4 linked regions of the Caenorhabditis elegans genome follow. The protein of the gene in region 1 interacts with the protein of each later gene in a pairwise test. Each region holds a gene or a part of one and is shown in the gene's direction. Other genes may lie near its edges. The genes, in order: cat-4, F54D10.7, gap-3 and arrd-6.

Evidence for each region.
Region 2: the proteins of cat-4 (region 1) and F54D10.7 interact in a two-hybrid assay, tested with the Caenorhabditis elegans proteins (one large-scale study listed by BioGRID).
Region 3: the proteins of cat-4 (region 1) and gap-3 interact in a two-hybrid assay, tested with the Caenorhabditis elegans proteins (one large-scale study listed by BioGRID).
Region 4: the proteins of cat-4 (region 1) and arrd-6 interact in a two-hybrid assay, tested with the Caenorhabditis elegans proteins (one large-scale study listed by BioGRID).

What each region holds. Positions count from the first base shown.
Region 1 is NC_003283.11:10,562,926-10,566,953, forward strand, and holds cat-4 (GTP cyclohydrolase 1), read left to right. Parts: upstream 1-1,954; 5' UTR 1,955-1,988; coding exon 1,989-2,151; intron 2,152-2,718; coding exon 2,719-2,814; intron 2,815-2,861; coding exon 2,862-3,059; intron 3,060-3,117; coding exon 3,118-3,332; 3' UTR 3,333-3,514; downstream 3,515-4,028. Other genes in the region: vps-54 (Vacuolar protein sorting-associated protein 54), read right to left, coding at 3,730-3,832, 3,879-4,028. UniProt on the Caenorhabditis elegans protein: Involved in serotonin and dopamine biosynthesis that affects movement, mating behavior, foraging behavior, and cell migration.
Region 2 is NC_003280.10:3,819,597-3,823,004, reverse strand, and holds F54D10.7 (Ubiquitin-like domain-containing protein), read left to right. Parts: upstream 1-1,708; 5' UTR 1,709-1,723; coding exon 1,724-1,834; intron 1,835-1,884; coding exon 1,885-2,304; intron 2,305-2,519; coding exon 2,520-2,783; 3' UTR 2,784-2,856; downstream 2,857-3,408.
Region 3 is NC_003279.8:2,007,526-2,012,124, reverse strand, and holds the start of gap-3 (SH2 domain-containing protein), read left to right. Parts: upstream 1-1,599; 5' UTR 1,600-1,645; coding exon 1,646-1,705; intron 1,706-1,867; coding exon 1,868-1,960; intron 1,961-2,026; coding exon 2,027-2,121; intron 2,122-2,165; coding exon 2,166-2,295; intron 2,296-3,354; coding exon 3,355-3,537; intron 3,538-4,558; coding exon 4,559-4,599.
Region 4 is NC_003280.10:11,141,107-11,148,911, forward strand, and holds the start of arrd-6 (Arrestin C-terminal-like domain-containing protein), read left to right. Parts: upstream 1-1,790; coding exon 1,791-1,850; intron 1,851-4,736; exon of another isoform or gene 4,737-4,804; intron 4,805-6,087; exon of another isoform or gene 6,088-6,312; intron 6,313-6,410; coding exon 6,411-6,470; intron 6,471-6,565; coding exon 6,566-6,761; intron 6,762-7,092; coding exon 7,093-7,229; intron 7,230-7,284; coding exon 7,285-7,634; intron 7,635-7,805.

The sequences.
Region 1 (4,028 bases):
CAGAAAACCGTATTCCTTAGGACACTCTCTATGTTACTTGTTCTCTATGTTTCTGACGTAATCGCCGTCACTTAATTAATCCCGCAAACTCCTTTTGTGCACGATCTTATCTCAAAGGTGACAATTCAAAGTTCCTGAACCAATTTATCATGCAATGATTATAAACTCCATATAAATTGCGGCTTCAATTGGTAGTACATCATTAGCGGCGGCATTTTGCTTATGCTCTTATCTTATTTATAGTTCAACCTAATAAATTGCGGGGAACTTCCTCTACGAGTGTTACGGTATTATTTGGCAGTACTTTTCAGTAACAACTTTCGATTTTAATTTTTTACTTTTCAAGAATATTGACAATAGCTCAGTTTTTTCAAATAGTTCTTTTTGATTCTCAATCTCTAACTCTGAAGAACCAAAAGTTATGAGAGACTTCGAATAACCCAAAAAATCCTGATCATAACAAAATAGTATTTCAAGTTTTCTTGTTTTCATTCGTCATCACCTCCTCCCAACTTGTACCCAATCAGCCCAGAAATCGCAAATATAAGAAACGATATCTGATGAAAAAGAACTAGAAAACTAGGAAAACATTTACAAGTTCGAAACGCCTCTTCCCTCATCTTCAGCTGATTTTGGAACCGTTCTCGTCATTTCGTGTGAATGTCATCAAAACACATCGAGTCTGCCGGGAAAAAAAAGGCGTGGGTTTGATCTTTCTACTAGCTTTAACTGTTTCAACGAAATTCTTATGTAGGTAGTTAAGTAGAAGAATAGAAGAAAGTGAGTGTACTTCTTTAGACCCCTCAATTCTTTTCATTTTCTTTCTTTACTTTCTCATTTTTCCACCTGATGATGACTTAGAAAGGAAAGTAGTTAAAATTTTACAATTTTTGAAAACCGAAACTGTTGAATGAAATCGTTCCCAAATTTGAGGTCCTACTTTTTTGACATGGTGAAATATTAGAAATTGTATTTTATTTTTGTGGCTGTTGGCAGTATATATGAGAGTTTAACACGGTTTCTGTGTTGTACTAAACTCATTAGTAATTTTTTTGCCAGAATCTAGTTTATTTTTCAGATTGGTTGTTTCGATGAGTAATATTATTAGGTGTGATGAGTTTTAAAAATAGGAGGAGTATATTCTACCACATGTGATCCTATTATTGTTTTTAAATAACTTCCCAGGAGGACCATTTGATGAATTTCGTGAGAAATATATGTGAAGTTTGATAAATTCCAAATTTCGTTTTGAATATAAAGTTTCTCAATTTTTTCGATTGTAGTGCATGAAAGAGTAACTTGTAGATATTAATCTGCCAAAGTTTCGGCAACAAAACTGATAGTGAACTAGAAGTCCACGTGAGTGAAGGTCTATATCATTCCTCGCTGATTTACGATCCTTCTCTCTGTATCTCCTCAGACCAGTCCACTTTTTCTTTTCTTGTTGCGCCTATCCACCTAATCAATCGGTTTCATTTTCTTTTTACATGTTCCTTTTGTTTGCATAAATAAATTATTCTTCCTCCACATTTTCCTGAATACCTAGAAGTGCTGCCATGAAGGAATGGCGGAAAACGATTGATGTATGGGACGACGTCTTCCGTTTCTTTTTCGATTTTTTGCTATTTTCTTATTCTTTTTTTCTCATTTTTTCACATAAGTGGGAAAAGATGATGAAGTCTATCCATTCGACTAGATTGATTTCCTTCTGTCCCTTCATTTTGCCTATTTTTTCCCAGAATACCTTTCATAATACATGACGTGTTGTACCTTTTTTTTTCGTAATTTCTTCTTTCTTGCTTGGACATTGCACATATTCGGTTTCATCCGGCAATTATTTGAATGTCTATCCTTTCTTTTTGTCGCCTACGCTTTCTCAGCTTTCTTAAGATTTACCCACGGCTCATTTTCAATATCACCTTATTTCACTCACTTACTCAATCAATGTTTTCAGGCTTTACCCACTCTATCAACATCATAATATCAAAATGTCCAGAATTGAGAACGAAAGCGGATTTTTGTCATCTGACGCCGCAAGTGTTGGATCCGAAGACGATAAAGTTGAGATGAAGAAAAGAAACGGAACGATTCCAAAGGAAGATCATTTGAAATCAATGTGCAATGCCTATCAGAGCATCATTCAACATGTCGGTGAGTTCATGTGATTCTTTGGTTCGGAAAGTATTAGTCGATCAACAACAAATTTAAAATAAGCTGTTTAAGAATAGATTATAGAGTTCTGAAAACGTACTGTCAACTGTTTACGTCAGCAGAATTAGGAAAACTTTGGTTTCGATAAACATTTCAACACACTTTTTGATTCATTCTAGAGATTATAATGTTTTAGCATTTATTCATTATCAGTGACTCAAAGAATATTGATAAATATTTTCCCAAATATAAATTTGACCAAGATGTTTTGAAAGTCGATGATCTATAACTGATAGTTGTTATTGTCTGGAAGGAAGTTCAGTTCAATATATTCCACTCTCAAATCAAAAATCAAGATCGAAAATTGTTTTAATTTAAAGACTCATGACAAATTGTAATCTATTACATCACGCAATCAAGGTACCCTAGCACATCATCAGGAACTTGTGATTTCAATTGATATATCTATAACATAAATCAGAAAAAAATAGGTTGTGTCCGTTGATTATAAGGGAAAAAATGAAAACAAAATACATTTTCCCACGTTGACTGATTTTGGGAATTCAGGAGAAGACATCAATCGTCAGGGACTTCTGAAAACTCCAGAACGTGCTGCCAAAGCAATGATGGCATTCACAAAGGGATACGATGATCAACTTGATGGTCAGTTATAGCAATACAACGTTAAAGCTCAAAGTTTCATTTTTCAGAGCTCCTCAACGAGGCAGTATTCGACGAGGATCACGATGAGATGGTTATTGTGAAAGATATTGAAATGTTCTCCCTTTGTGAGCATCATTTAGTTCCATTTATGGGAAAAGTTCATATTGGATACATTCCAAACAAGAAGGTTCTTGGTCTGTCCAAGTTGGCAAGAATAGTCGAGATGTTCAGCAGAAGACTTCAAGGTAAATTGAGAAATTACATTTTTGATTGGAACCTAACCTAAACGTTCAAATATTTCAGTCCAAGAACGTCTTACAAAGCAAATTGCCACCGCAATGGTTCAAGCTGTACAACCATCCGGAGTTGCAGTTGTTATTGAAGCTAGTCACATGTGTATGGTAATGAGAGGAGTTCAAAAGATCAATGCTTCCACCACAACATCCTGCATGTTGGGAGTATTCCGTGACGATCCAAAGACTCGCGAAGAATTCCTTAATCTTATCAACAAACGCTAAAAATTCTAGTCATTTCCTTTTTTACTTGTTTTTTTGGGTTTTAACTGTTACTAACTTTTCATAACTTTCCATGTGAATCTACTAACATCTTATGCTTCAGCTTTTTAAATTCATACAACATGTTCATTGCCTGGATACTGTAATATGCTTTTATTGTACATGCAATAAATTACTAAATACCAGATAAATAAAAACAAAAACAATTAACTGGGAAATGAAAGTGATAAAGCTAGCCCAGAAGCACAAACTAAAAAATTAGGAATGAAGGACCAGTGAATTGGGGAAGTTTACAGAAGAAGCGTGAAATAAAAGCCACCGTAATTAGTCAAACAATCACAATCATACACAAGAAATAAACCAGATTGAAAATTAAATAAATATTTTACAAAGAAAAGTCCTATTCAAACATAATGTCATTAAGCGACTCGAGCTCCAAATTACGGCAACTTTCCATGTTTTTCACATTTTGTTGATAAAACATGTAATCTTTTGTGACATATCTGAAAATAGTACATTATAGTTGAAATTTCAGTAATTTATTCTTACCCGTATTTTAAAGGGTCATGAGGTGTGATACCCATTCCAGTGACGTGTTCTCGTAAGTTGGCTTTAAAGTTTTCGTGTACTTGACGGAACAACGCCTCGATCTGATCTCTTGGCATGATGCCAACCAGTCCATTGTGGAATTTCAGCATA
Region 2 (3,408 bases), on another chromosome or scaffold:
CAAAAAGAACATAATTTTAATTCTCACGTCAATTTTTTATTCGCAAGAAAACAATTGAAGCACTGAGCAACATGCCAAAAAATTTTACGTGAGAATTAAAATTATGTTCTTTTTGTTTAATTTTTAGGTCATTTCAGAGAAGGAATCAATTAAAATGAACACGAAATTCGTAAATAGCGTGTTCTCAGCTTTCTAAAAATATTTTTTTCGACCCAAAAATCGCAATTTGATTTTTTCGCCCATTTCTCGAGAAGCAAAAGTCCGATTTCATTTTTCGGAGCGAAGGACGATTTTGGAGATGGGCAGGATTTTTTGAAAGATTTTTTAGGACATTGTAGAGACCTCAAAAAAGTGATCATTTTTCAAAATTTCAAGTTTTTACGTTGGATATGAAGAGTTTTATGAGCGAAATTGGATTTTTTCGAAAAACGGTCTGTAACTTGGCGGAACATGAAAATATCAAAAATCTTAAAACTAATAAAACGTGGAGAAATATTTTTTACTTTTTATCCAACAAAATTTATCTTTTCAAATTTGATGGGCGTAGGGTTATGACGGGTACAGCAAAGGAGTTCTCAAAATTTTTTGTGATTTTTGGTAAAATGGCTTTGATGTCTCTACTTAACTCTACAAAAAGTTGGTGTATTGAGATAAAAATTAATGAATTAAAAAGAAAAAATATTTCTGATCATTTTGTTAGTTAAACATTTGTTTTCCAGATGTGTATTTTTCGAGATACGTCAGTTTGAAGATGCACAAAAAAAATCAATTTTAAAACAAATTAAAATCATCATTATTGGCAGCAGAGAGTCTCTGCTGCCAATAATGATGATTTTGGGGTGTGCGGCAAATTTGCCGAATTTGCCGAATTTGCCGAGCACGGCAAATTTCAAAAAAGTAGATTTGCCGAATTTGCCGAGCTCGGCAAATTTCGAAATTTGCCGCATACGTCAAAAATTTGACAGTACAATGTTGACTAAAACTGTTGATTTTTTCGCCAAAAATTTAGTAAAATGACAACAAATTGAGTTATTTTGATGTTTAAGCAGACACACTACACCTAACTTGTTCAGAAACCAGAGGTGTGTTAAGAATTCAGTAGTTTTGGTGCTCCAAAAAATATCAAAAAATATATAATTTTTCCGAGTTTGTTAAGCACGGCAAATTTGCCGAATTTGCCGAATTTGCCGTGCTCGGCAAATATTGGAAAAATAGATTTGCCGAATTTGCCGAGCTCGGCAAATTTTGAGATTTGCCGCACACCCCTGGCAGAGACGGTAGACGGCAAAGAAAGAAATGCTATCTGAGTTTGCCATCTTTAGAGTATGACCGGGACTTTGCAAAATGGTCTGGGCCGGAAAGGAAATGAAAACTCGAAATTTTTATTTAGTAACTGATCGTTGAAAGATCACGTACATATTAGATGACAAGTTGCTCCGCTCATATATTGAGTTTCTGCATTTTTCATCTGTAAGGCGCAGGACAACTACATTTTTTGTGGTTCTTTGTTTTAATAATCTTCAAAAATGCCAAAAAAAAATTGATCTCCCCGCCGCGCACCAATAAAGTGGGTCACTTGCCACGAGGCGATTTCCGATCCCCTTTTACAATCGGTATGCAGGGGAGAGGCTCATTCTCTCATTGATTTGTTTTTTTGTGTGTCCTTTTCCCGTTTTTCTTGTTATTTTAAAATTTAATTAAATTCCAGAAAATAACCTCTGCAATGCCCCCAACTGTTGGAAAATCTACCAATAAAGATGGACCGTCGGATTTGATGTCGGCGTTTGAAAATTTGCGATCTGAAACTGCTGGAATCAATAATTTCCTTGAGAAAGTTTGAATTTGAATTGTATCGGCCTTATTAATATTTATTCCAAATTCCAGGGTCCCACCATCGGTTCGATCACGTCCTTGAGCATTTCCAAATTTGACAAGTTTTGTGAAAATCAGGATAAAGTCAACCAGAAACTGATGCTAGCGATTCAGAAAATGTCCATCGAACGTTCGAAGCGTCAGAAGATCCAAGACGCTTTCAACAAAGAAATGCTCGACGCAATCAGATCTATGAAGAAGGCGTTTGCTCGGGAGAAGGAGGAGTTCAGCGATGATTTGGAGATTTTCAAGGAGGAGCTGTTTGAGAAGCTTGATGAGGATAATGAGACCTCTGAAGACGAAGATGAGGAGGAGGAGAATGATGTTTTGGATGCGATCAAGTTGCTCCAAACTGGACTCGATGCTATGAAAGAGGCACAGAGGGAATTTTTCAAGAAAGTGACTGAGGATACTCAAGCCATCCGGAGAAAGGTAATTTTATGAGATGATTGTGTTCCTTACTTGAGGCTTAGGCTTAATCTTAGGCATAGGCTTAATCTCATGTTCGGCAAACGGCAAATCGGAAACTTGCCAGAAACGGCAAATCGGCCAACCGGCAATTAACCGATTCGCCGAATTTGCCGACAAAAAAATTTGTCAATTGCCGCCCACCCCTGGCCCGTAAATTTAGCAAAAAAATTATTCAGATTGGCTCGAAAAACATAAAGTTCAATGTTATCCTTCACGGAAGCCGAATCCCGATGGAACTGGACTCCCTTGACACAATCTACACGGTCGGAATGGCCCTCCTGAAGCACGGTGGCCTCGCACTGCATCGCCAACGTCTCATGCTCAATGACAAGGAGCTTCAGTATAATCAAACTCTTGAGGAAGCTGGAATTAAGGACGGTTCTGTCATCAAGCAACATACTGATGAAAAGTGTGATGAAGATTGTGAATGTTGTTGTTAATTTATTGAACTTTATTGTTGAATGTGGATATTATTATTATTTGATTAAAAGAAAGATAAATGTTTTATTCAAAAAAACGTGAATCAATTAATTTTTCTGCTACCAATTAAATTCATTTCTCCAAATCTCGGCGACCATGTCGAATTTCCGCTCGGACAATTTGATGTCTGAATTCCAAAAACTTCGCATGGAGACTGCAGATATTGGTTTGGCTCTTGGAAAGGTAACACTTATTTTGTTAGCACCTAATAAATTCTACTTTTCCAGAAGCCAGAAAACTCGGGCATTGTATCCGATTCGCAGCTTGAGAAAGTCATTGAAGAGCAGACAAAACTCAACAAGGAAATCATGGAAGCCGTTCGAAAACTGGAAGTCGAGCGAAAGGAACATCAGGCAAATCAAGAAAAATTCAATAAAGCAATGATGGAGGCTTTTCAAAAACATCGTGATGAAATGAAGGAGAGCATCCATTAAGAACGAAATTTCTCGAAAACCAGAGGCTGCTGTACATGAAAATTTGCCGACGAACGACGCGAAAATCCTCTTCCAACTGACACGTGACGGCAAGCGCGAATGGAGTGAAGCTTTGAAACAGTTCCTATTTGAAACCGAACTCGCAATCAAG
Region 3 (4,599 bases), on another chromosome or scaffold:
TTCTTTTAGAAAAAAAAATATTGCAACAAAAAAAAAAAAAAAAACTTCCTCCGAGTAATAATAATTGGCAAAAAAAAAGAAAAAAAGAAGAAGCCCGGAGGAGCAGGAGCTGGTACTTGTCCCATTAATTTTCCTTTTTTTCTTCAAACAATAAAAAACAGCTGAATTTTACGGCAAAACTGCTCTAAAAATGTAAAATTTCATTGAAAAAGTAGGCGCAGCCAATACACCATGTGGTGTTTTGGCGCTGTCTCCACACGCAAGTAGTGCCAGGGGCTGTCCCAATACGGTTTGATCTACAAAAAATGCGGGAATTTTTCGCCCAAAAAAATGTGACGTCAGCACGTTCTTAACCATGCAAAATCAGTTGAAAACTATGCGTCTCTTCTCCCGCATTTTTTGTAGATCAACGTAGATCAAACCGAAATAAGAGACACTCTGACACCACGTGTACACGTTTAAACTTTTCCAGCTGTAAAAAATAAAATTTTCAAAAAAAAAACATAATTTTTAATCACATGTCTTGTTATCACTGTGTTATCTGTTATCACAACGACAATTTTTTTCACGAAAATTCTTTATTTTTAGGTATTACCCAAAATATTTGAATAAATTCCAAAACTTTCCGTGTTCTCCGTCCTCCATTTCCCACTTTCACAAATGGTCCATCATCCGAACTTCCGGTGCTCTCTCTCTCGCTGTACAAGAGACACAGAAAACCGAGAGAGAGACAGTGATTCGTGGTAGAGACGCAGACACATATACACACACACAGAAAAGTGATCTGGTGTCTGTGTGTGTGTGTGTATATTGTGAGAAAGAAGAAGAAGAAGACTGCGTGGGTGTAATAATATGCGTCCTTTTCTCCCCCCTTCTCTTTCGATTTCTTTTCTTCAACTTTTATCACTTTATTCACAACCTATTTCCTACCGTTTACCACCTTTTTTTTTGAGGAAACTTTGAATTTTTATTGAAATTGTTCAAGCTTGATTCCACGGAGTTGAAATCTACCAAATTCAAATTCCACTGCCTTCCCCGGGTTTTTTTTCCATTTCGATGGGTTTTTTAAAAAGGAATTAAAAAAAACGTTTTGTTTTCAAATTAAAAATTTAAAAAATAGACTGAAAATTAGCAAAACTGGGATTAATCCCACGGAGTTGAAATCTACGGAGTTCACTTTCCACTGCCTCCTCCGGATTTTGTATTTTTTAAACATTTTCTAGTACTTTTCGATGAAACTTTGCATTTTTTCACCTAAAATTAAAAAAAAAGTTTTCTAATTAGCTGAAAACGATAAAAATAAGAAAAAAAAAACATTTGCGGAGTTGATATCTATGGAATTCACATTCCAAAATCAGGCCAAGACAATTAAATATTGTTTTTTTTTAGCTTCCAGCGCAAATTTTCGAATTTCCAAACAAAATTTTGGTTTAAAACTCTAATTTTCTACCTGAAAATCAGGTTTTTTCATCGAAAATCATCGAAAATTAATTAAAATTCAAATTTCCCTCCATTTCCCCAGTACGTACACCGTCACGCAAAATTGCGTACCCGTCCGATTTTTCGCATTTTTTTGAATTTGTTTTCCTGTTTTTTGATGAAAATCAATAATTTTTTGGCATTTTTCAGGTGCAAATGAAAAGTTATGCACTCAAGCGAGAATACTACACCTAACAGCAGCACGGAAGGGCCATTGTTTCTAAAAGTGAGGGCGAAACAAGTGAAAATCGAGGAAAAAAAGGAAAAATTAGAAAAAATTAGAAAAATACCATTTATATTATTTATTTTCATCGAAAATCAATTATATTTACAGTTTAAAATATTCTAAAAAATCCTAAGTTAAAAAAAAGGAATTGTTTTTTCGCAGACTCACACGAACCCAACACCGCCTGATATATCGCCAAACGATGTGTGGTACCATGGGGAATTAAACGAACACGATGCCAATCATTTGCTTCAGGTTTCTTTTGCGAAAAATTACAAAAAAAATGGCAAAAAATGGCAAAAAACCGGCAAAACATTCCAGGGCACATCTCCCGGCGCGTTTTTGGTTCGGCAAACTGGCCAGACGAGATTTTATCTGTCGATATTGGATCAAGACGGCTATCCGAAACATTTACCGTTGGTTTTTAAACATAAAAATTTAAAATTCAAATTTTTTTCAGCATCCGCCAACTCACCCCACCTCACTACTTTTTCGAAGGAAAGCGTTTCGAGACCCTTCGAGATATTGTAGATGCCTATCAGCTGGCTGTGATTCCAGTTCGAAAAGGAGGAATTATGCCGATTAATGGGGTATTTTTTTGCCCCATTACGGTTTGATCTACAAAAAATGCGGGAATTTTTCGCCCAAAAACATGCCAAATCAGTTGAGAACTCTGCCGCATTTTTTGTAGATCAACTTTATTCAAGCCAAAATAAGACACTCTGACACCACGTGTGATACACCATATTTGACGCGCAAATTTTTGCATTATTGGATAATTTGTTGGATTTTAAAGTGATTTTTCAGAGAAAAAAAAGAAATTTATAATATTGCGCGTAAAATAGAGTGTCTTGAGTCTGTAATCGAGTAGATCAAATTTAACGCGCAAATTTAATTTAAAAAAACAATTAAATTACTCCATGTCTTACGAAAACACAAAATTCTGAGAATGTGTATCACACAACATATTTGACGCGCAAAATATCTCGTAGCGAAAACTACAGTAACCCTTTAATTGACTACTGTAGCGCTTGTGTCGATTTACGGAAGTCAATTATTAATCAATAAAATTAAATTTTAAAAGAAATCTCAAAAATGGCAAAAAAATACAATTCTCATTGGTTTTTTCGTTATTTTTTGCCATTTTTGTGTTTTCTTTTAAAATTTAATTTTATAGATTAATAAATGATTTCCGTAAATCGACGCAAGAGCGCTACAGTAATCATTTAAAGGGTTACTGTAGTTTTCGCTACGAGATATTTTGCGCGTCAAATATGTTGTGTAATACGCATTCTCAGAATTTAGTCTTCCCGTAATAATTTATAATTTGTGCGTCAAATATGACGAATTGGTCAGAATATCGATATACACGAATATAAAGTTTTGTAGAATTATCTGTAATAGTAGTAGTTTTTGCGCGTAAAATATGGTGTATTGAGTCCGTAATCGAGTAGATCAAATTTAACGCGCAAACATGTCCACGTGGTCTCATTTCGGTTTGATCTACTTAGATCTACAAAAAATGCGGCAGAGTTTTCAACTGATTTTGCAAAAAATTCCCGCATTTTTTGTAGATCAAAACGTAATGGGACAGTCGCTGGCACCCCGTGCATGCCGGAATTTTAATATACCATAAAATTTGTTTCCAGGAAATCCAAGAAACCAAGTACCTATGCGTTAGACGATTCGAACAACGCGAAATCGACGAAATGAACTCGGAAATCGGTGATATTCTGTCAGTTTGTGAGACCGACGAGACCGGATGGATGTTAGGACGAAATGAGACGAGCGGTTCCGTTGGAATTATTTTAAGATCACATTTGGAACCTTTGGTAGGGAAAAGTAGGAAAGACTGGAAATTTCTAACTGAAAATTTGAAAATTCTAGGAAAAAACTGATGAAAAATTACAATTTTTAAGCAAAAAAATGTTACGTTTTTTTTCACAATTTTCTACAAAAAATTTAAAAAATTAATTAAAAAAGGCGAAATTGTGCTAATATTACGGGAACACAAAATTCTGAGAATGCGTATTGCACAACATATTTGACGCGCAAAACATAAAAATATCTCGTAGCGAAAACTACAGTAACCCTTTAATTGACTACTGTAGCGCTTGTATCGATTTACGGAAGTCATTTATTAATCAATAAAATTAAATTTTAAAAGAAAACACAAAAATGGCAAAAAAAAATTACGAAATGTCATTTTTGAGTTTTCTTTTAAAATTTAATTTTATTGATTAATAAATGATTTCCGTAAATTGACACAAGCGCTACAGTAGTCAATTAAAGGGTTACTGTAGTTTTCGCTAAGAGATATTTTTATGTTTTGCGCGTCAAATATGTTGTGCAATACGCATTTTCAGAATTTTGTGTTCCCGTAATATCTAATGTAGGCTTTGGCGTACCAAATACACTTATTTTGGTACAAAATCGCGGCGAGACCCATTTATAAATTGCCTACCTAATGCCTGCCTGCTGAAAAAAAAAACAAAAAAATTTTTTTTTTTTGGTCCAAGCTGGATTTCTCCAATTTATTAACACTATTTGAGAAAATCGATAAATCTCGATTTTCGGGGGCAGAAAAATCAATAAATTAACACTATTCAAGAAAATCAATAATTTGCCAAATTTTTGGAAAATTCGATAATTCACGTGGTGTCAGATTGTCCCATTACGGTTTGATCTACAAAAAATGCGGGAATTTTTTTTCCAAAAAAATGTGGCTTCTTCAGCACGCTCTTAACCATGCGAAATCAGTTGAGAGCTCTGCCGCTTTTTTTTGTAGATCAGCGTAGATCAAGAGACACTCTACAACACCGCGTGAAATTCTCAGATTCCGTGCTTTTACAGATCACAGAGGTGGCCGATTTGTCGGATCTACCGTACTTCTA
Region 4 (7,805 bases), on another chromosome or scaffold:
TTCTCGGCTCATTGTGCTTTTCTCTCCCAGTTTCTTTTTTTCTTCACCCTCATCAACCTTCTTCATCAATTTCTTGTCCTCACATTCTGCTTTTTCTATTCATTTTCTTTTATTTTCAACCCGAGCTCTACCCTCTTCTAATTTCCTGACCACTTTTGGACTCTCTGTGCACCTGACTTTCTCTTCCTCAGTCCCTCTCTCGTTTCTCAATTCCAATTTCCTTGATAACCAAGAATCTGTCAACCAAATCTTGAGATCTTTTGGTGTTGCCGACTTTGATTTTCTTATACATATATAGCTTTTTAGCAAATTGACTTCTTGGCTTTTTAAATATTTCAGCTCAAATTGTACATTTATATAATTGTCACATAAACTGGTTTCAAAAAGCTATAAGACTAGGAGTTTGATAAACCTTATTTACACATTCCGAACTTGTCAAGTTGGAACGAGTGAGTAAGTGTATGGCATTTCATCAAGAAGCTTTTTTTTCCCTAATGGCGTGGGTGGATGTGTTTTCTGACTAGAGGTTTTTAAAAAATAAGAGAACAACTTTTGATATTTATTCTAGACACTAACTGTGTTGTTTTTTTAAAATGCATGTGTAGTCAAACATTTTAGAGGTTTATCCATGCGACATTTTTTAAATTTCTGAAAAACCACAGTTTCCAAATTTTGGTAATTTGCCAAAACTTTGTTCAACAAACTAGATACAATTTATAGAATTATAATATGATAGATTGTAATTTCTTCGATTATTTCATAAACATAAATAATTAAAATCGCAAGAGCATAATTTTTTACATGTGAAAAAATTTTATTTGATATTCTTGCTTGTGATTTTTAGTGCCCTCAATTTTTTCGACCACATTTTTTTTCGGGCAATAGGTTTTTGTAATTTTTTTCTTCACTTTTATACTTTTTTGCATTTTTTTGCAATTAACCTTATAGTATCAAACATAAATAACAGTTGTTAAAAATCAATTTTTCCATTTTTCAAATATTATAATACCTTTAATTTTTTATTTTCTTGTAAGCCCTGCTGGTTCTGTCAAACTTCAAATTTCAATCAAAAATTTTCCAATTCTCAAATGTGCGTGGGTTGTTGATGACAGAAGTTCTATGTCAGTCCACAAATCTAGTATGCAAAGAGTGCCAAATGCCAGAAATACATACATACAAATCACCAACCTTATCGGTTTAACATATCACCTGTCTAGGGCATATATAGGTTGAGGGCTTATTGAAATTCGGCGGCTATGCTATTTGAGTCGATTCGTAAATTTGAGTAGTTTTGAAATTATTTTAAACTACAAATTTCTCGAAACTTCAGCTCTAGATTTTGATCATCATCATTGTTTCCTTCTTTTCTTCTTTTTTTTAAGTTCAAAATGTCTCTCCTTGAGTTTTGGTAATTTGTGAAGTTATATCGATTACCATGGCTGCATCTACATACGTCATAAAATCATGCCAAAACACTTCCATTTTTTGATGATACTTCTTCCTTCTTTTCTGCTTTTCAACTCCTCGTGCCTATCCTCCACGCGTGTGCCCATTGCTCCTCATTGCCGCGCTTTTTGCTCAATTTCCCACTGGGACCATGGGGTCGAGTCCGAGTCGACATAAATCTCGAAGAGTGCTGTTTGCACTACATAGTCTCTTTTTTTGTTGCTCCTCCACACACTCCTTTTCACCCTATTCGTCCCAAGAAGTACTCAATCTGATTAGAAAAAAGCCGGGTGAGAGCAAGCTGGAAATAGAGGCACACACGTGAAGGAAATCAGGAGGAGGATATGGCTGAAGAAAAGAAGGAAACAATGATCAGTACGCTACTCGAGAAGCACTATTTCCAGGTCAGATCCCAAGAGGAACGTTCATCAAATGAGCAAAAAGGGCATTCTTTCCTGTTTCTCGTTCCAACCAATTTTTCATTCATTCTCGTGCATATTTTGTCTGTGAAAATTTTCGTTTTATTTCACACTATGTGAACTCAATTTTATTCGCAAAACTGCAAAACAAATCCGGTTTCTAATACTTGAAAAATCAAATTTTTAGTTCACTGTATTTTTCCGATTTGTCTTGTACCCTCACTTTTCGTTTTTGAGTGCTCATATCCTAGTTGCTATTGGTTTAATTTGAAAAGCAGATAATCAACTATAGTTAACTACGAAAGACTTCCTCAAATGTTTTAAAATCAATTTTTGGAATTGTCTGAAATTTGAGAAAATTAATTAGTCTCAAATTGCACACAAATAGAAGATTCTGATAAATCACTATTATATAATTTTTTAAAGCTTTGGAGCAAAAGCCATTCAAATTTCAACTTTCTAAAATATTTTTAGATTCGATACTGTATGGAATTTTTTCTTTTGAACTTTTACACTTTTACAATAATTCTAATCCAGTTCAAACTTAGTTAATTAATTGAAAAAATCGCCTAATTTTTTTCAAGTTTTGGAACAAATTTTGATAAATTTTGACTGATTTTGATTGGCTTTCTTCAGAGAAAATTAAGGGAAATCTACTCAAAGAGTTGATCTTCATTTAAGTAATTTAGAACAGAATAACAATTTTCAAAATAAAAAAAAAGTTCGAATGTTCGAAAGTTTCGAATTTAGTTCGAATTTTTAAACTTTCCCCCAAAAAGGGCTTACGTCGGTTTTTTCTTAATTTTTGAAAACTATGGAATAAAATAATATTTTCTAACAATCACTTGTTCCATCCCATCTTCCAAAAAAACATTTTTTCTTCCACTGTGCTCATTGACAATGAGTAATCACTATATGTTTACTGTGTTCATTATAAAATTCATTCATTCTTCGTCTTCATCTTATTTTTCGTCACACACATATACATGCTCTTCGGGTCTTTACAAATTGTATTCGACTCTATCTTTCTCTCTTTCAATTCTTCTATTTTTTTGTCGACTGGTTTTCCATCTCATCCTGACCGGGACATGTCTCATGAGATTTATCGCGTTGCCATGGATTTAGCTCTCTTTGCTTATTACATTTTCTATCGCAAAAACGAGAGAGAGAGAGAGAGAGAATGGGAGGAGGAGTCTGGTATGCATCCGGAAAATTTGATGTTTCCAGTTTTGAGCACCGACGTTGCGATTTTGTTGCATTTTTGAAAATTTCTTGTAAAATCGGAAAGACTTCCGAAATCGCAAAATCCAATAGCAACATAAATACTAGCGCACATTTTCTTAGAAGACCCAAGATTTCCCTTCAAAATAAAAGAGAAATCCCAGAAGAAAATTTTTAAAATAGTACAGTTACAGAATCCCAGAAACAAAATAATTGCCAGGAAAATACTAAAATATTTTCGGCGGACTTGATGCTTGCAAATTGATAAACTCATTGGTATTAGTTTCCAGATTGTAAACCGTGAAACTTTAAACTTTTTGTGTAGAAGTTCACAAAGGTCCTTGAGACCGATATTCAAACCAGGTAAACGATTTTTTTTTCGCAAATCGGCAAATCGGCCAATTGCCGGAATTGAACATTTCCAGCAAAGCAAACGGGCAAATTGTCGAACTGCCAAATTTGTCGACAAAAAAGTTTGCCAAACGTCTATTGCCGCCCACCCCTGCTTCAATCCCCATTTTTCTTTTCTGACCAGGCAAGTAGCAGAAGCCGACCGGTGCCTCAACACCTTTGAATCCGTTGAAACTCGTAATTCTAAAAAAAAAAGAAATTTTTAAAATGATTCCAAATATTATAGTTTTGTTACACAATGAATCAAGTCCCTGCAATTTCTGAAAACAAGTGATTTTACCCGTAAATACCCGCCATTTGATAGTATCATGTAATCACTATAGAATAATCCGATAGATCTCTACCCATATATCCAGCTAATCTCCTTTATCCCAAAAACCCTTTTCTTCCACTTTTGTCAACCTTCTCTCTCGATCCACTCAAAGTAGTCGTTCTCCAGTATCATGTTACACAAGAAGCTGTCGTCGAGAGCTGTGCTGCTGCTCCAAAAAGTTTCGACTTCATTTCACACATTTTGCCCAGGCTCTCCAACGCCTTCTGCCCTTTTTACCTGCTTCATTAATTGCCGGAAATAGTGTGCAAAAAGGCGGAGAGGGGGCTCTCAAACACCCAACAAGAGATATTGTGTTGCTTTCTCTTCTTTACGCCTTCTTCTTCTTTTCCATCTCATTCTATTGCTTTTTCGTTCCTCATTCATATGTACGTGTATATCCGCTCTGTCTCTATATATCTTGACCTAGCTATTTCCGTTTTTTTCCCTGACACTTTTTTTGGTAAATGAGCATTGGACCGAAGAAATTTGGATTCAAATTCCAAGAGTTACCATTTCGCCTTTTGGTGAACCTCATGAGTTTCAGTTTTCAGTTTTGAACAGCCCAAAAAAACCAGAAAGTTCTAGGAGTTACTGTATAGCTGCTACTCAAATACAATTCAATTTTTCTTTAATTTTCCAATAATTTTTCCTCTCCCTATTTATCATTCTATTGACCTTCTATTCTGCATCCACCCTCACTGCCCGCAATTACAGAATCTTCAATTTATTTTTTTCGCGTTGCTCTTTTTTTCGGAGCATTGCAATTTCCTATCGGCGCGCATCTATAATTCACGTCACCATAAACAAAGATGCACTTTTTTCCAAGTTTTCTATCGTTTTCAATCAAGTAGGAAATTGGGACTTCAGAACGAAGTCTGTCTTATTTGGAAATTTTTGTATTCAATGGTTTAACACAAGTATTTAAGCTCTACCTCCTGAAAATTCAGTCTGAAATAACTTCAGTGCATTTTTTCTCAGGATTCGAATACAGCAGGTTCGTTCCAAAATCAGCATATTTTTGGTGAACTGGAAAATGTTAAGAAATATTTATTTATACCATTTAAAACATGTCTAAAATCAAATCTCAATTCCATAACAATCCTGAAGGTAAACCTTCACTTTTTGTCACCTGATAATAATTTCTCCCTTCTCTGGGAAAGCGTCTCGGAAATTTATTAAAATTCGTTTTGTGAATTTTTGATTTCTCTTGAGAAAAATTGGAGTTTCTGATTCAGCCTGTCTTGTGATATTTGGATATTTGATGAAGGGAATATTGTTCGTAGGTAGGCTGTGACTGAGCACGAGGACATTTTTTTCTGATTTTGTAGTGTTTTGACAGAATTTTATAGTGAGTTATGCAAAAAAAGATTATCAAAAATCCAAAATATGATTTTTTGCGGAATGCTTACTGCTTACAGGGGCCAATTTTTATTGAAGTTTTGCAAATTATTTAAATGAGTATAATTTAAAAACCAAGAGCAAAGCAACAAGAATATTGCCATAATTCTGCGGCCGACATCTTAGAGACCCTTATTTGTTTCAGAAGCTGGCTTCCAAAATTTTGATAATAAATTAATCTTCAAGTTATTGTATTTTCTCAGGAATATTCCTAAAAATAATTTAATAATTACAGAATTTTTGTTGGTAACCTTTGTCCAAGTTTCCTATTTTTTGAAATGTGTAGAAACATCTAAAGTGCCAGTCACAATGATGGGACATGAACAGATTCTAAATATTTTTTAAAATATTTTTTCCCGCGGCTAAGTATGTAATGTGGGATTATATCTCTATCTTTTTGTTTAGTTCTTCTTTCTTTTTCCTTTTTTTTCCTCCCATTCGTCCACATCTCCGACAGATACAATTCCAGAAGATTAGAGGAGAAAGAGAGATGAGGCATCAGAAGAACAATTCTTATTCTTCTAGCAAACTAGGACAGAGAGAGAGAGAGAAAGGTAGAGAAAGGAGAAGAAGCTCAAAGTTTTTTATGGCTCTTCTTCTCCGATTAGAGAGTACTCAGCACCAGATACCGTGACTCTCATTTCCATTTCCGATTCGACTTTACGATGCTCCGTGCACCACAGAAAACCTTTTCTTCTTCTTATTCTTCACTTTTTACGTCTTCTCTGAAGAAATTTCTAGATCTTATGCGTGCCATAATACCATTAATCTTCTTTTTTTTTCTCACAATTTCCAGTTTTTTTTCAAAAACAAATTGTCAAAACACATTTTTTTCATATGACCTGATAAATATAATTAATTATCGTTGAAAATTCAAATTCAAATTATTTCATTTTCCTGAGGCTTCAATGTAGGCACCGAAACCTACCTGCCTGTCTGGCCTTAAGGGGACCTACGCCTGCCTTGCGTCTCAACCGCGAGAGTGGCAGGTTTCAGGCAGGCGCCAGGCCCTGAAACTGTGCTTACCATCGAAATCCTAACAAAAAAACCTGTTTTAACCTAAAACGAAAACATTGAATATTTTGAACATACCTGAACCATGCTTAATTCCTAGTGCGAGTTACTTTTTTCCTGAATGAAATTATTTTTGGTTTGTGCCCAAAAAGTGTTAATTTTCTAATTTTTAATAAAAATACTTCCAGGTTGAGGAGCAGAAATCCGGCATGGACTACATATCCAGTTTCGACATTAGGCTCAATAAGGTTTGTCGCGCGAGAAAAAGTCCAAACAGCTGGAAAACACAAACAACAACAAAAATATTGCCTCCCCACACAACGTATGTATGTATGTATTTCAGGACGTCTACTACGCCGGCGAGACAATCAGTGGAAGTGTGCTGTTGGAGAACACGGAGAACATCAAAATACGTGGTATTCGGGTGTTGCTACGTGGCAAAGTGCATGCCACGTTGAAAGTGGTCAAGTCTGGTGAACGGAGGACGTTGAAAGACGATCAATATGTGCTGGATGAGAAACAGTTGCTATGGGGGAAAGGTGAGTGATAATGGACACTTCAACTTTGGCAGCCTATACATATGCCAGTTGTCGTTCGACCTATACAAAAATTGTCAACTAACTAAATATTTGTTTTTCCTCCTTCTATCGTTTTGTAGTTGATAACTTATTGATATCTCAAAAATAAGCCCAGATGTATCCTTTCAAAGTGAAGTAGTGAAAAAGTACTTGAAAGGTTGTTTCAGATTACGTGACCAAATTTGTGAAAATCTGTAAAATTTATCTTGTTCATGAAAATTAATTTAAATCTGAATTCAAAATAATTATTGATTTTCTAGACGTTTCTTTTAACGTACACCAGAATTTCCAGATAAAAGCGATGAATCAGACAGTGTCCCAATTCTTGCTCGCGGAGTTCATCAGTTTTCCTTCAACTTTGACCTCCCACAATCTTCATTACCGTGTTCATTGGAGAGTAGGCATTGTACAATTCGATATTATTTCAAGGTATTACATACATATTTCAGAAGTAGAATCAGTACAGTTAATTTTAAAATTCCAGGTAATAATTGACATTCCATATGCATCATCTCCTCAGGGAATCAAATATTTTACGATAATCGGTCCACATATCGACAGTATGGAAGAGAAATATTTAAGCCCATTATCAGCTCAAGATCGAAAAGTGAACTGTTGCTGGTGTTGCCAGCGGGGCGCGCTCGCACTGCGAATAATTCTGGAGCGGACGGCGTACGTGTGCGGCGAGAACATTCGTGTCCGAGCCCAGATTGAGAACAGGCAATCCACGGCGCAAAGCCTCGTTATCCGTCTTGTGCAGCACGTCGAGGTGTTTGTCGAAAAGGGACTTTTGGGCGAGAACAAGATGATGTCATGTGTGGTGTTCGAGCACAAGTGAGTGAGCCGGTTTTAGAAATGTCATTTGCAGAGTCGTGCAGAGATTTTAATGTACATATACAATTTTAAGAATCTAAAATTTTTCATATTCTCAATTGAAGCTTAAAAAGAAAACATGTCATATTTTGTATATCTAGGTTTTTTTTGGTTTTGCAAAAAACTATCAAA